Diceros bicornis minor: one gene and its partner. The protein of the gene in region 2 interacts with the protein of the main gene of each other region in a biochemical or structural test. Links are inferred from orthologs where the notes say so. Each region holds a gene or a part of one and is shown on either strand. Other genes may lie near its edges.

Region 1 (7,334 bases), on a different chromosome or scaffold from region 2:
CCGTACCTGAAATCATCTCAATGTCCCGTGTCTGTTTCTCCCACCATAAGCTCCACGGGAACAAGGGCCCGTCTGTTTATAGTGAGGGTCTAGGCCCAGCTCCTGGCGCGTAGCAGCCACTCAGGAAGTATTTGTTGAATAAAAGGGATAACCTAGATGACAGACCGGCTCTGCCCACCTCCCCTGCTTCCTCATCACTCTGTAGCCACACTGGCTGTCCTGCAACGCGACCTCGAACATACCGTGCCCTCCTCACCTCTCAGGCTGTGCACTAGCTGTACCTGCCCCTCGACCTCCCTCGAATGCTCGCTCCCAGCTGTCTGCATGCTGCTCATCCTCATCCTCAGCTCTCCGCTCAGATGTCACCTCCTCGAAGACGCCTTCTCTATCTTTCCAGAGGGGCCCCCACACTTTCTCATCACCCTCTTGATTTCTTCCATCACACTGACAATCATCTGAAATTATCGTGAGTGACGGTGACGGGTTTACTCAGTCTCCCCCAGGGGACAGAAGCTCCGCGAGGACAGGAGCTTGTCCTCTAGTTCACCGTTGTTTCTCCAGGACCCAACTCACTGCCTTGCCCCAGGAGGGGCTCAGGAAACATGTGTCCAGTGAACTAATTTTACAGAGGAGGAAACAGGCTCAGAAAGGTCGAGTGAGCTGCTCGGGCTCACACAGCTGGCACCCAGGTCCACCTACCTCCGAAGGCCCTCCGCACCACGCAGCAGCCCCCTGACCCTCCGCCTGGCCTCTAGGCAGACCCACCTTCAGGCTACGAATGCTGGATGGGGTGGCGTCCGACTTGAGCATGACTTGGATGTCTTGGAGCACCTCCTCGCCAGTGGGCCGGGGCCGGGTCACCTCATCAGCCACCTCCTTGGCAGCTTCCTCCAGCTGGAGAGGAGGAAGGGGACACGCTGTTAGTGACCAGAGCAGGACCAGCCCTGAGGGGCTCAGGGATGGGGTCCCACTCACCAGCTGCAAGTGCTCAGCCGGCTGCTTGTACAAGTAGTCGGCCAGGTCCTCGTCGAAGCTGGCCAGGTCCTCCATCTCCACCTCGATCCAGTACTCCCCCAGATTGTAATGCCGCTTGAGTTCATCCCTGGAGGGGGCAGGTGGCAGGGTGGGGGCGGGGAAGGGTGCGGAGAAGAGGAAACCAACGCTGGCTGAGGTGCACCCGCACCCCAAATCTGCCCACACTGGGGCCGCCACTGCCCCACCACCCCTCTTCCCAAACACACATCGAATTCCAGGTGGTTCCGTTAGTTAACCCTGCAGAGGCTCCCCGCCGCTGACAGAGCCACCCTCCACAGAAAGCTCTGTGGAAGTGGTCCACCAGATAGTCGAGGGATGCTGCATGGCTCAGACAGGGTTCTGCGCACAGGTGAGCTTAGGAAACTCGCACTGCAAACCAGCGCTTTCACTGCAGGACTCGGAGGCTTTAACTCTCTCTTGGAGGTTAACAAGGCACACAGCTCAAACTCGGAGACTGAAGACAGCAGAGACCATGTCTGTCTTGTCAACCACCAGACTCTTTTCACAGAACATCGCATGGGACTACTGTCCCCAAAACACATTTGGGGACCACGACCTACGCAGAACCTGCTCCTCAGCCTCTCTCAGGCCTCATCCCCTTCACCTTATGTCCAGGAGCCCGGCCCGGAGAGCCCCTTGCTATCACAGGCCACCCCGTACCTCTGCCCGTGCACGCAACTGCTCCTATACGGAAAGCCTTCCACACCTGAACTATTCTCTCAGCTCAAGCATCACCTCAAATTTGGGCTCCATGGAAGCCTTCCCTAACTCCTTTTATATTTCTCCTTTGAGGTGACTATCACCTTGTAATTTATTTGCTGGTCTCCATGCCTCGCTCCTACTGATGTATGAGCTTCTTGAGGGCAAACAGAATGAATCTTTCACCTTTGTATCTCAGTGCCCAGCACGGTGCCTGGCACATAGGTGGTCCATGTCAGCTGGTGCGTGAGTAAACAGAGGCAGGAGTGGCTAAGCCCATTTTACTGATGAAGAAACTGAGGCCCAGAGAGACGGTCACTCGGAAGCCACTCAGCTAATAACTGGTCATGCCCAAGCCTGGACCTGCAAACTCATGTTCTCTGCACTTGAAGGGCCTACAAGGATTCGGCATGACGTCACAGGGTGCACAGTGTCCAACCTTGCCCAGCTCATTCAGTGCCTGGAACAGTGCCTGGCCTGGCCTGCAGCAGACGCTCAATCCACTGAAGTTACCAATGGCAAGGAATGAACGAGCAAAGTCGATCATAACTACCACCCACAGGTCGCACCCACAGTGAACCTGAGTTTACAAGGCATCACAGACACTACATGTGAGGACAGCACGAAGCAAATGAGCAGGAAGAAGACCTAGAGGAAGAACCAAAGGGCCCAAGTGGCTCTAGCGGCCCACTCAACAGGTGACTCACTGGCAAGTTAACACCGGGGATAAAATGGACACAACCATAGGCCAGTGGGGTGCGGGGCTCTGCTGAGCGCTCAGGCACTGCTGGGGGCGCACCTCTCCCGGCCCGCGCCAGCCCGCACCTGTATTTGAAGGTGAAGCCGGTGCGGTCGGTGCCCACCCGGTACTGCCGCAGGAACTCCTTGAAGCGCCTCTGCAGCTGCGACTTGCGGGCGTGCCCCTCGTCGGCCGCGGTGTCGCCCCCGAAGCTGTCGCTGTAGAAAATGCCGGGGTCGTCGAAGCCCGACATGACTGCACCTGGCGCGGGGACAGAGCGCTGGAGCGGGCCGGGCGGCGCGGCCTCGCCTCCGCTCGGACGCCGGGGTCCTCGGCTCCGGCGGCTGGGCGACCCCGGCTCCCCGCCGGACCCCACCCACGCCAGCTCTCCCAGGAGAAGCCCCGCCCGCCCCTACCGCGCCCCCACATGCAGAGCCTGTCGACCCCCGCGGGGCCGGCTCCGCGGCCCCCAGGCCCCCGGCCTCACCTCTCCCTTCCCGCACTCCGCGGCCCGGGACAAACCAGCACCCCACACTTCCCCGCCGACTTTCGCGGGAAAAGCGAGACCCCGCCTTCGCCCGCCGCGGCCGCTGCGCCCCCATTGGTTCGCCGGGGCCGCGCGGCCAGTGATTGGGCCGCTCTGAGCCCGCGAGCCCCGCCTCCCGGGCTGGCCGCTGAAGAGGATTGGCTGCGGGGCGCCTGACGTCAGTCCTGGCCCCCTTCCGGGCTCCATTTTGTGCGTCGGCCGGTTTGGCGCGAAAGTTCTGAAAGGGGAGGAAGGGGCAGGGCGGGCGCGAAGATGGCGGCGGGGCGGGCGGACTGGGGTAAAGTAGCCGCTTTCCGAGCCATGGGGTGTAAGAACTCGGGGTTCAGAAGCTATGGGGGTCAGCCCGTGGCTTAGCGGTTAAGTGCGGGCGCTCTGCTACTGGCGGCCCTGGTTCAGACGCTGGGCGCCCACGAGGCACCGCTTCTCCTGAGGCTGCATCCCACTTACAGCAACTAGAAGGATGTGCAGCTATGACATACAACTATCTACTAGGGCTTTGGGGAAAAAAACAGGAAAAAAAGGAGGAGGATTGGCAATAGATTTTAGCTCAAGGCGGGTCGTCCTCAGCAAAAAGAGGAGGATTAGTATGGATGTTAGCTCAGGGCTGATCTTCCTCACAAAAAGAAAAAAGCAGCTATGAGTCCTCAGAGAAGCACGCGCTTGCGCAGTGTGAGCCCCCTGCACCCCCGCCCCGTGTTCTCTTACCGGTACACACTCGCCCAAAAGTTGGAGGTTTATCAGAAAAAAAGTCACCTCGGGTCTCCCTAACACCTCTGGGACCAAAATCGTCCCAAACTTGGGACGCAAGGGATGTTTTCTTAGATCCGAGTGGTGATTTTTTTTATTATTGTAGATTTTGCATTACCTGGTAGTGCTTAAAATTTGTGAAAATTCATGACCAGATCCCCAACCTAGCTTGAAAAGCAAGAAGATTTGGCAAAACTCGATGCATTCTCCAGCTGCAACAGGGACCACATCATCTCCCCTCCCTTCTTTTCCCTTCCCACCCCCCAAAAAACTGGAAAGAACTTTTTACCCTCTTGGTCACATCCACACAAACATAGATTTATGTGTTCAAACTATGTGTATTTTTACAGTGTGTAAAAATTATATCAAATGAATCTGAAACTGGCTTTGCTCATTTTCTTCACGGAAGTCCCCCTGAGCGGAGAGACAGATTTAACACATTCTGTTTAACAAGCTGCTGTGTTTTCCGTAGTAGGAATAGGATATAAATTATTGGGCCATTTTCCTGTTGGTAGAATTCTAGATGGTTTCTCTCGCCCGCCCCCTTCCTTCCTTTCTTTGTCACGACTAACAATGAATATGGATGCCCCATTCACAGAAAGCTCTGGAAACTGGGCCCAGGTGGGGAGAGCTGTGGCTGCTGTCTGAAGCCTGCTCTCTGGCCATCACCTCTTGAAGTGGCCCCAGGACCTGGCCGCACGGTGGAAGCTCTCCGTGAACAGAATTCCAGAGTCCCGTCAAGGGCTCCAGAGTCAGAACCTCCCGGGGTGGGACCCGAATTCCCCGAGTGATTCCGATGCCACATCCGCTGGTGTTTGGTCACCACTGGGCCCTCCCACCAGCTGTGGGAGGCAGGCGTATTGTTCTCTTTGCCAATGAACAAAGACTTGAAGTGACATCCAAGTTTCCAGACTTAGTGACCAAGCCAAGTCTGGGGATCAAGGTCTCCTGACTCCCGGTCCTCGCTTCCTACTGGTATAAGGAAACCCTTTGTCCCCTGCTGTCCCAACTCCACCTTCAGTAAGGGGTTTCACTTTCCCAGAGTGGGAGGCTGCATATTTAGTGTTTCAGTGGCTTGCGTGACTTCATGGAAAAGGCTTGAGTTTTAGGGCCGGACAGACCTGGGTTAAATCCTTCCTGCCCCTCAGAGTGGTAACACCCCTGTCAGGTTTGCTGTGAAGATTAAATGAGATGACAGAGGAGAGGTGACTCTCACAGGACAAGAATCACTTGGCAGGGGCTGGCCCAGTGGTGTAGTGGTTAAGTTCACGCACTCCACTTTGGCAGCCCGGGGGTCCCGGGTTCGGATCCTGGGCACGGACCTACAAACCACTCATCAAGCCATGCTGTGGCGTCGTCCTACATACAAAATAGAGGAAGATGGGCACAGATGCTAGCTCAGGGCCCATCTTCCTCAAAAAAAAAAAAAAAATCACTAGGCAAAATTCACAAAAAACTGATCTCCATTGTTTCACAATAGGAGCTCTTGTGGTATGAGGTTGGCATCTTACCTGCATCTCATTTGCTTCTCACAACAAGCAGGTGAAGTGGGTCTCACTGTGTTCATGCTACAGGTGACAGAACTGAGTCCCAGGGAAGTTAATAACTAACCTCCAAGGCAGAGCTACAATGTGGAGGAACGGGAATTTGAACCCAGGATCTCAAGTCTTTAAGATTTATCGTGCGGGACACACAAATTTTATCCCAGAATCTGCTCATTTCAGCCTCACGGGGCAATCCCATCCTCGGTAAAGCTGAGCCTCACGTCGAGCGGGGTTTGCCACAAAGATTCGCCCACCAACAGCTTAAAGCTCACCCACCAACGTTCTCAGAACAGAGCACAAGGTCCAAAACCAGCTCCTGCCACCAGCACCCTCACCACGTCTCCCCAGCAGGCAGTCAAGAAACAAGCAACGAGAAGGTCTGTTCCCCAAGGGTAACAGAGCCCAAGAAAAACACTCCGAGTTACTATCAGGCAGTATCCTTTATTATTTCACACACAAGTTAGAGACCAAGGCCACAGTGCTGTTAAACACCTCCCTCTGCACCCCCTCCCGCTCCCCCCAAACCCACCCCAACCCTGCTATAAAAACATGAGAACACAACAAAAATCCCCAGTTCAGGCTGAGCCGGGAACAAAAAGTGGCTCCAACAAAAACAAGACAGACACACGAGACACAACATCTTTGCACATTTATGTAAAAACTGCCATGGGCCGCGGGCACAGCGGGCACGGCACATCAGCGAGGAGACCGTGAACCCAGGGCATCTGGAGGTGAGGAGAGCTGCCTCCGTGGGCCACGTCTTCTGGGCTCTGCTGCAGGAACGGGGATGCTGAGGGGCTGGCGGGACCCCTCGGCCCGCTTCAAAAGTTCAGATCATGCAGCTGGCTGCGCTTTTGGCTGGGGAAGCCACCACAGGCTCCTTGCTTTCCAGAGAGAGAGGGACGCAGGGAGAGGGTGGGGGCCCGACAGCCCCCGTGCCCAAGGTAAGGAAGCCAGCCAAGAGATTCTCCCTCTCCAGAAAGAGGCCTTCCGTTGGTGAGAGTTCACGGCTCCCAGGAGGCAGCACGCTGGCATTCACATGGCGTAGAGCCCCACGGCCACCGTCGCCACCAGAAAGCTGAGTGTGAGGACCCACCGGACCAGCGGCACCTGGGAGAGGATGTTGAGAGGGAGCTTCCCCCCGGGGGTCTCCGTGGGAGTAGAGTCTGCAAGAGAAAGGGGGGCAGTGTCAGCAACAGGTGGACAGAAGTGGGGTGTCTAATGTCACAGAAAAACACAGCAGGACAGTCCCCACTCAATGCTAGAACACCAACAGGTAGCCCCCCAGCCACTGCTTGAATACCTCCCACGACAGGGAGCTTACTACTGCTCCAAGCCGTGCACTCCTTCCATTTTCAGCCAGCCCACACTGTGAGCAAGTACCCTCCAGGGGTACCCCAAGGGACCACACTGTGAGAACTGCTGCATTAGGACCAAGTCCCCTCAGCCCACCAGGTGGCCAATCCCATCAGGACTGGCCACATTCCAACGCTCCGGGGCACAATCCCACCAACAGAGGGGTCCATGTGGTCCTGGCACACGTGGGAAAGACACAGGGCCAGGTGGGGTAGGGTGGCACCAGGAGCGAAGGCCTAAAGTAACCCGCCAAGCTGGCGGCTGAGCTTCACTCACCCCTCTCCCCTCCTCTACTCCCAGAGCCACACTCCCGCCCACGGGAGATGGTGCATTTTGTGGAGCACTTTAGTGTTTCTGGAAGTTTCCCAGATATTCTCCCAGCACAGCCACAGCCTCAATAGCTCTCTGAGGCATGTGAGGCAGGGACTCACGTGAGACGAGACTCAGAGGTTATGTGTCTTCCTAGCCTTCCGTGGTGGAATAATAGCTAGCAACAGTCCTGGTCTCCCTGCCCCACATCAGGGTATCTCTGCTTAGGAACTATTACAGGGCCCCCCAAAAAACCTAAATTAACCGAGGGCAGGGCTTTGCCCATGACTTCCCAGGTCCTTTGTGTGCAAGTCTCCCCTTCTGAGCCAGTGAACGAGAAACCAACTCAACCGCCCTT
Region 2 (7,583 bases):
TTTTTCATCAGATTTGAGCTGCTGTTTTAAAACAGACCAAGGCGGTAAAGACAGAACACAGAGCTAGTAAGTTTTTCATGGGGATGCAGTAAAGACATAGAGGATAGTGCGTTACTCAGGGATGAGAGACCCCAAGGAAAATATTCATGGTGTGGGGAGGCCAACCAGCCTGTACCACTTGAGAAATTTTGTTTTAGATTCAGTAGTAGGATGCTTTGCTTCCCCCTATGAGATCTGTATCAGTGATCTATTGCTCCATAACAAACCAAACTACCCCCAAAACTCAGTGGGGTTAAGACAACAACCATTTATCATTGCTTGTGACTCCAAGGTGGCTGCGCAGTTCTGCTCATCTGGGTGAGGCTGTCTCATCTTGCCTGGGCTCTCTCACAAGTCTGAGGCCTAAGCCCTCACAGCTCCTCGACTCAGCTATGGTTTGCGTGCTCTCTCATCCTGCAGTGGGCTAGTCTGACTCGCCACAGAAGCAGGGCAGGGCTCTAGGAGTGGAGTATGTAAGGCTCCTGGAGGCCTAGGCTCAGAATGACAGTGTCACGTCTGCTGCGTAATATTGGTCAAAGCAAGTCACAAGCCAGCCCAGATTCAAGGAGTGGGGAAATAGTCCTCATCTTTTACTGGAAGGAGCCACATAGTCACATTGCAAAAGCGTGTGAATACAGGGAAGGGAATAATGTGGCCGTTATTGAAAACAATCTACCAGGAGATCCTTCCTAATTTCTTGTAAAGAGAATTATGTAACTGATAATATCTATCTTTTTGCTTTGACTTGTTGGCTGCATTGTATTCTTTATATTTATATTTCTAGTTATAAATATAATTAAATAAATACAACTGGGTGATTGGGAATAAAAGGATGAATGAAGAATAGGAATGATACTGTCTTTTCTCCCAGCAAAAATAAATTGCTCCAAATGGGAAGTCTGGGTTTCTAAGAGTCTTTCCACTGTAACATCATGTGAATTTATGAGTTACTCCAGTGCCTTCAATTACTCATAAAATGTGGTTTCTAGACGCCACGCCATCCTTGACTCTCCTTTGAATATACACCAGTTGAAGGATGGCAAGTAGCAAGTTTCACCTTACCTGCCTTTCTGATTGATTGCTAGTGAGTAACTAGATGCAGTGTTGAGAAGTATTCAGAAGTTGGGCCCTGGCAACAAAGACTACCCTGTCATTTGTTTTTGATTTTTTTTTAAACCCAATACAGGTATTTGCATTTGCTGTTTTAAGTTTTATCCAGTTGGTTTCAGCCCAGCAGCATTCTAGCCTAAGATAATTTAGAATTTTGATTCTGTCATCTATGAATTAGTCAGCTATTTCAGTGGCAAAAAACAAAACAAAACAAAACTCAGTGACTTATAACAATGACAACAAACAAATACGTCTCACTCATGGGTGTGTGGGTGGGGTGTGGCAGTTCTGCCCCAGGTGGCAGGTTCAAGGGTGCTCCACACATCTCTCCTTCCAGGACTCAGGCTGGAGGAGCAGTGGCTGCCTGACCACGGCTCCCAGCACAGGGCTGGAGTGCACAAGCACAAGCCCATCACACAGAGCGTACGGAGTCTTAGCTCAGCTGGAGGGTACATCACATCTCACATTCCATCAGTCAGAGCAAGTCACACGGCCAAGATCAGAGTCAGTGCACGGGGAGGGACCCGCCACTCTTGGTGAGCCACGGCAAGGAGCGGGAAGGGAAAGAAAAAATGTGAAAAATAATACAATCTACCAGACGTGGTATTAGCTATTTTTTCTCGGTGTGTGTCTTTTGCAAAGTTGACACTTGTTGGTATAGAGATATAGCTGACTGCTCTAAGGGGGCCATCATGCATTTGGCTCTGTCATTTCTGGATCTCTAGTTTTTTGTTTGGTTTGGTTTTTGATTTGGTTGCCCTTTAAGCAGTCAGTATGTTCAACAGTCACACTTATAAAATATAGTTTGTCTTCCAGGAACTTAGAATCTTGGAGGGATAAGATTTGGACACTTCAAAAACCATAATGTAAGGGAGTGTATGGTGATTGTCAACTTAAATAGAGGCATTTATATATCACATTATTTCAGAGACCAGATTGATCACCACAGGTTGAGGTGGTTCCAGAAGGAGACTATAGGATTTGGGCATGGTTTTAGAAGTTGGGTAAGGATTTGATAAGTGAGGGGAGTAGAAGGCAGGACTTGCCATTTCCTATGTACAATGCTTGCCAAGAGTATGTGCAAAGGGGCAGAAACAGGAAAATTAAAAGCATGGGGGGAGAGTTTAGTTGGGTAATGGGACAATGGGAGACAAGACTGGAAAGAAAGGTAGGGACGTTCTGTGGAGGATCCAGACTAGCAGACAAAGTTTGTGTTTATCATAAATGCAATGAGAGTTGTCAAGACTTTGGGAAGGGAATGATTGTACAAATGTGGTGTTTTAGAGAATTTAATTTGGCAAATATAGTGGAGGGGGAAGGGACGGGAAGAAGGTCGTCTGCCTGGTGTCTATTGTAGCATTCCAGTTCTGAAGTGATGAAGGTATACAGTAGGGTATTGCCAATGATGGTAAAACTCAGGAGGATCAAGGCATAGGGAAGGGAGCATCCATTCGAACTTGATGACAATCAGAATGTGGAGAGCTCAAGAGAAACATCCTATTTGCAGTTGTTAAGATTACTTAATTCCCCCATCAGTATTGAAGCTAGTCTCTGTGCAAGTTTTACCGTACCAGAAAACAAATTTTTTAACATATTATCTACCCTTCCTAAAGTCAGCTTTTCTCAAACATTGTCTCAGCCCTTAGTGCAGGTGAGTAGGAGGAGAAGGGCTCTTTTCTGGTGGCCTAGCATCTCTTTTCACAGAAGGTTGCTACTCTGGTACCAAGGGTCATTGTTAACACCAGTTCAGTACTGGCTTTGTGAGGGTGAATATGTGACAACAAGAAGGAGTGTATTGACGTGGGAAGAGAAAAAACTATGACAGACACTCATATAAGCATATCCCTGGGAAATTATTTAGATCCTTTTCCTATGCAAAGTTGCCTTATTATTCAAGGCTTGATTCGAGTTCCATCTACTTGAAGGAACCAATTGATTTTATGGGCGTACATTCCAAGATCAGGTCTAGGCTGGCCTCGGGGATGCCTACCTGGGGAAGTGACCTTTAAGATGAGATTTTAGCTAACACATAAAAGATGAGTTAGCCAGCAAACAAGTTGGGGGAGGTAGATTGTTGGTCAAGGGGCTTTCCAAATGGAGAACTGCTGGTGAGAAGGCCCTGAGTGTGGGGAAAGAGCTTGGCTTATTTGAAGAACAAAAATGCTGAAGTAAGGAGAGAAAAGAGTGGCACGAGATGGGGATGGAGAAAGTGATAGGGAACCAGGGCTTTGTGGGCTATCTTAAGAAATTTGGAATTTTAAGAAAAACCATCATAGGAGGTTTCAAGGCACACACATGATTTGCTTTGCAATTAGGAAAAAAAAAATCACTCAAACTGCTGTATGGAGAATGGACTGAAAGGGAGTTGAGAGCTGAAGTGAGGCAGCCATTGGGAATCTCCTGCAATAATCCTAATGAGAGAAAAAGGGGTGGTGGGGGGGTGGCATAAGAGATGGAGAGAAGAGATAAGACTTGTGAAATATTTAGGAGGAAGAATCAACAAGGCTTGAGGACCAGGTGTACGGGTGAGAAGGCAATTTGAAAGATGACTCTTAGTTTTCTGGTATGTGCCATTTCTAGCAAAAGGGCAGATTTGAGGAGAAAGATGATGAGTTGGTTCTGAACATAACTAGTTTGGGGAGCTTACCAGACATCCAGTGGAGAGTCAAGTGGGGGCTGTACACGTGGGTGTGGAGCTCGGAGGAGAGGTGTGGACAGGATACACATGTGGAAGCTCTCCCAATACAGAAGGAAATTGAAGCTGTGGGTAAGGTCATCACAGGTCTGCGTGAGAAGTGTAGGAAAAGCAGACCAAGATCTGGACTCGGACAACACTTACCATTGAACGGTTTGGTAGTGGAGGTGGAGCAGAGATGGAGCAAGAATGCCGAAGAGGTAGGAAGAAGCAAAGAGGATGTGTCGTCATCATGGCCAAGGAAGAAGTGTTAAAGGATGGAGGGTCAACTGTGCCAAATGTTTCTGAGCGGTCAAGTAAGGTGAGCACAGAAAGCGTCCACTGAATTTAGCAACATGGAGATCAGCTGCCAAGCTAAGCTTCTAGAATGACAACGTGCCCACCTGTGTCCTCTGCCTCGGGTTCTCAAATATGGGGCTAATCCAGGGATCCCCAAGTATGGGCCTCTGCAAACAAAGAACTTCCTTTTAGTCGTTCTCTAAAATATGTAAACATAACCACCAGTCCGCCAAGTTGCAACACAAAGATGAACTGCACGTCACCCACGTGGGGACTCTGCCGGAAGGCTATGGAAGGAGCTAGCGGGTTGGCTGCGTCCCGGTCCCCGGGGGGAGGCGGCGCACCCGCGGAACAGCCGCGTCCGATTGGCCGAGCGCGGCAGCCGCCCGGTGATTGGCGGAGGCGGAAGGAGGCGGGGCGCCGGGCGCGGCCTTTTCTCCCGCTGGTACTTTCCCTTTCCTGCGCCGAGTCCGCTGCGGAGGGGCCCGGCCGCGCCCAGACGACCCCTGTCAGACCCCAGACGGAGCAGAGGCGACCCAGCGCCCCCCCGGGAGAGGCAGCACCGCCGCGCCCCTGCCCACCCTGCCCGATCAGGCGCGCAGAGTGAGTGGCCGTGGGGTTCCGGGTGCCTGGGTGGGGCGCGCCGAGGCCGGCGTCGTGGGGGCCGGGCAGCCGGACGCCGGGTGAGGACCGGCCTGCAGTGCTGACAGGTGAGTCCGTCATCCCGGAAAGAACGCGTCCCGAATATCCCAGGTGCTGTCCGCCGTGATGGTGCGGCTGCCCCTGCCTGTCGTGCTCTGGCGGTAAGAATGTCTTGCAAAACAGAATTTTTCGCCAAAAAACATTGCACCTCCCCGTTTACCCTCACTTTTCCCACCTTCCCGCCCCTTGCCACCACAGTCACGTTTTTTCTTTCCGCAGAAAGTTTTCGTTTGCGGTGTGCCACCTCCAGAGAGCTATCAAGGTTAGGCGCTGGCGCCCTGTGCGTGCAAACCTAACAGTGTTGACGTCTGACGTGCTGTGTGTAGCTCCTGCTTGGGTTGAAACCCCAGCCCTTCGCTGGGGCACAAGGTGACAGGTCAGTAAATGTTCGTGGAAATGAATGAATGAGTGCATGGCTTTGGAACTTAATTATATATCTGTGTTTAAGGATGAAGGAGCTTAGTGTGTTCCTGGAATATAGAAGTGATATTTAGTTCTTGCAAACCCCCAAATAATATAATTAGTCTTTAAAGAAAAATTCTGAGTAGTACCGAAGAGTTGGGGGTAAATATGTAGGTGTGTGGTTGATTGTGCTTTGGATGTTGTTTGTATCAGTTGGAGAGGTTGTTTTTAGGGGACAGAAACAAGACTTGAGCCTCCAGCACAATCTAATATGCAACCATTGCTTCATGAGGATGCAGGACTCAAAGTTGAACCATAATGTTGTTTGCCCTTTACTTTTTAATTCAATTTGCAATATATTAGATTTCAATTCAACGAACTATTATTGAGTACATACTATGTGCAGGACACTGTCCAAGGTGCAGAGGATGTTTAGAAAAATGTATGGTCCCGGCAACTCTGGAGCTTACATCGTGCAGGGGAGATATCATAGAGCTTTCTAAGGAAGATGGGGACTGATGCTCTAATAGCAATGAGGCACAGGTCAAAGAGAGCTTAATTGTCTCTCGGTGAGCTTCTGACAGCTTTATGGAAGAAGAGGCATTTGTCCCTACCTTTGAATGCCGGTAAGATTTAGAGAGGCAGAAATTTATGGGGAGGCTGTTTTCAGGGTGAGTGACAGCTGGAGCAAAGCAGAAATGTTGGGCATAGCCGAAAAACCATAGATAGTTTGGTGACTGGGTTGCTTTGTTGATGGATGAAAATGGGATCAGGGTGGAAATCAGCCTAGGAATTGGCAAATGATTTGAGCAAGAGAGTGATGTGGTCCAACCTGTGTGCAGCAGGGGCTGGATTGGGAAATAGTGTTGGAGGCAGAGAGGTAGGAGGTCTTGGGACTGGAGAGGAAGGAGTCAACCCTAAGTTTGGGATTTGAGCCAGGTGATTAGGGGTGGTCATGCCACTCACTGGTTTTGTGAGAAGATAGGTGGATTCTGGATTTGTTAACATGAGTTTATTATCACCTGCTCTGTGCCAGGCACCGTGTCTGTGCTCACCTACTCTCAATAGGGAAGTGTGTCACCTGAGGTCACTCACCTAACAAGAGGTGTTGCAGCCCCGCTGGCTGATACTCTGGTCAGCATATTTGTTTTAGGCACATCTTTATCAGGCACCTAGCAGGGAGGGAGAGAGCCGCAGATTTGGAGTCTTCCACTCCGGTGAAATAAATTTGAAGTGAAACATCAAATTTCTACAGCAAGTGTGCCAACGGGGTGGGCTTGGGTCCATTTCTACTGGTATTTGTGATGGTCACTAGCTTTATAGTCCCACCACATCCTTACCCTCCTTTGGAAGGAAATTTATGGAGTAGACATGACTTTATGCCTGCATATGTGTGCTCACCGGCAAGTGTGCACACCCACTTCCATGCCATGCTTGCAAATCCAGAGCCCTTCCTCAGAGGCCTGGTAGGACAAGATTCACTTATGTCTGCAGTGAATATTGCCAGTCTTGCGTTGATGCAAATCCTGAGTTGCGCTACGGTGACGGGAGGCTCTTCATTTTCCTAATGGATGTTTAGGACTTTCTTAAATCACATTTTTGTTTTTTTTATCTTTGGAACTACAATGTAAAAATTGACTTATAGTTATCTAAAGAGATAGTATTACTTTATCCTTTCAAATTACGTTTAACAATGCTGTTTCAACCTTTAAAAATTATTATTGAAATTTAAGACTTTTTGTGCTGAATTTATTGTTTGCAGTAGGCAAAGAAGAAAATATATCTCTTTTAAAAGGTATATAACAAAAATCATTTCATATATGAATCATAAAATATAAAACACTTGTTTAAAATTCTTTGAGTTAGGGGGCGGCCCGGTGGCGCAGCGGTTAAGTGCATGGCGCTCTGCTGTGGCAGCCTGGGGTTCGCAGGTTCAGATCCCGGGCGTGCACCGACACACCGCCTGTCAAGCCATGCTGTGGCGGCGTCCCATATAAAGTAGAGGAAGATGGACACGGATGTTAGCCCGGGGCCAGTCTTCCTCAGCAAACAAAGAGGAGGATTGGCATCGGATGTTAGCTCAGGGCTGATCTTCCTCACACACACACAAAAAAACTCTTTGAGTTAAATTACAAATGCATTGTAATTTGTAAGAGAGCAATTTTTTGAGAGTTCCTATGATTTGTTCTAAAGCAAATCTGATTAAATAATGCTTTCCATTTATTTATTTGATAAAAGTGCAGATTCATTTTAACGGCATATTTATTAAACACCTCCTGTGTGCCGGGCACTATTCTGGAGATGCAGCAGTGAGCAAACCCCCCCAAATCCTTCCCTTCATGTGGGGAAAACAGAC

The links. The genes of interacting proteins can lie anywhere in the genome.
Region 1: the proteins of STAT1 (region 2) and MCM5 form a complex in vitro, tested with the Homo sapiens proteins (2 studies listed by BioGRID). The link is inferred for Diceros bicornis minor from reciprocal best matches to the Homo sapiens genes STAT1 and MCM5.

Annotation. Positions count from the first base shown.
Region 1 is NC_080764.1:14,204,296-14,211,629, forward strand, and holds the start of MCM5 (DNA replication licensing factor MCM5), read right to left. Parts: upstream 3,016-7,334; 5' UTR 2,961-3,015; intron 2,735-2,960; 5' UTR 2,727-2,734; coding exon 2,560-2,726; intron 1,103-2,559; coding exon 976-1,102; intron 895-975; coding exon 766-894; intron 1-765. Other genes in the region: HMOX1 (heme oxygenase 1), read right to left, coding at 6,347-6,477. UniProt on the Homo sapiens protein: Acts as a component of the MCM2-7 complex (MCM complex) which is the replicative helicase essential for 'once per cell cycle' DNA replication initiation and elongation in eukaryotic cells.
Region 2 is NC_080749.1:69,837,930-69,845,512, reverse strand, and holds the start of STAT1 (signal transducer and activator of transcription 1-alpha/beta), read left to right. Parts: upstream 1-4,578; 5' UTR 4,579-4,726; intron 4,727-4,740; exon of another isoform or gene 4,741-4,833; intron 4,834-5,044; 5' UTR 5,045-5,201; intron 5,202-7,583. UniProt on the Homo sapiens protein: Signal transducer and transcription activator that mediates cellular responses to interferons (IFNs), cytokine KITLG/SCF and other cytokines and other growth factors.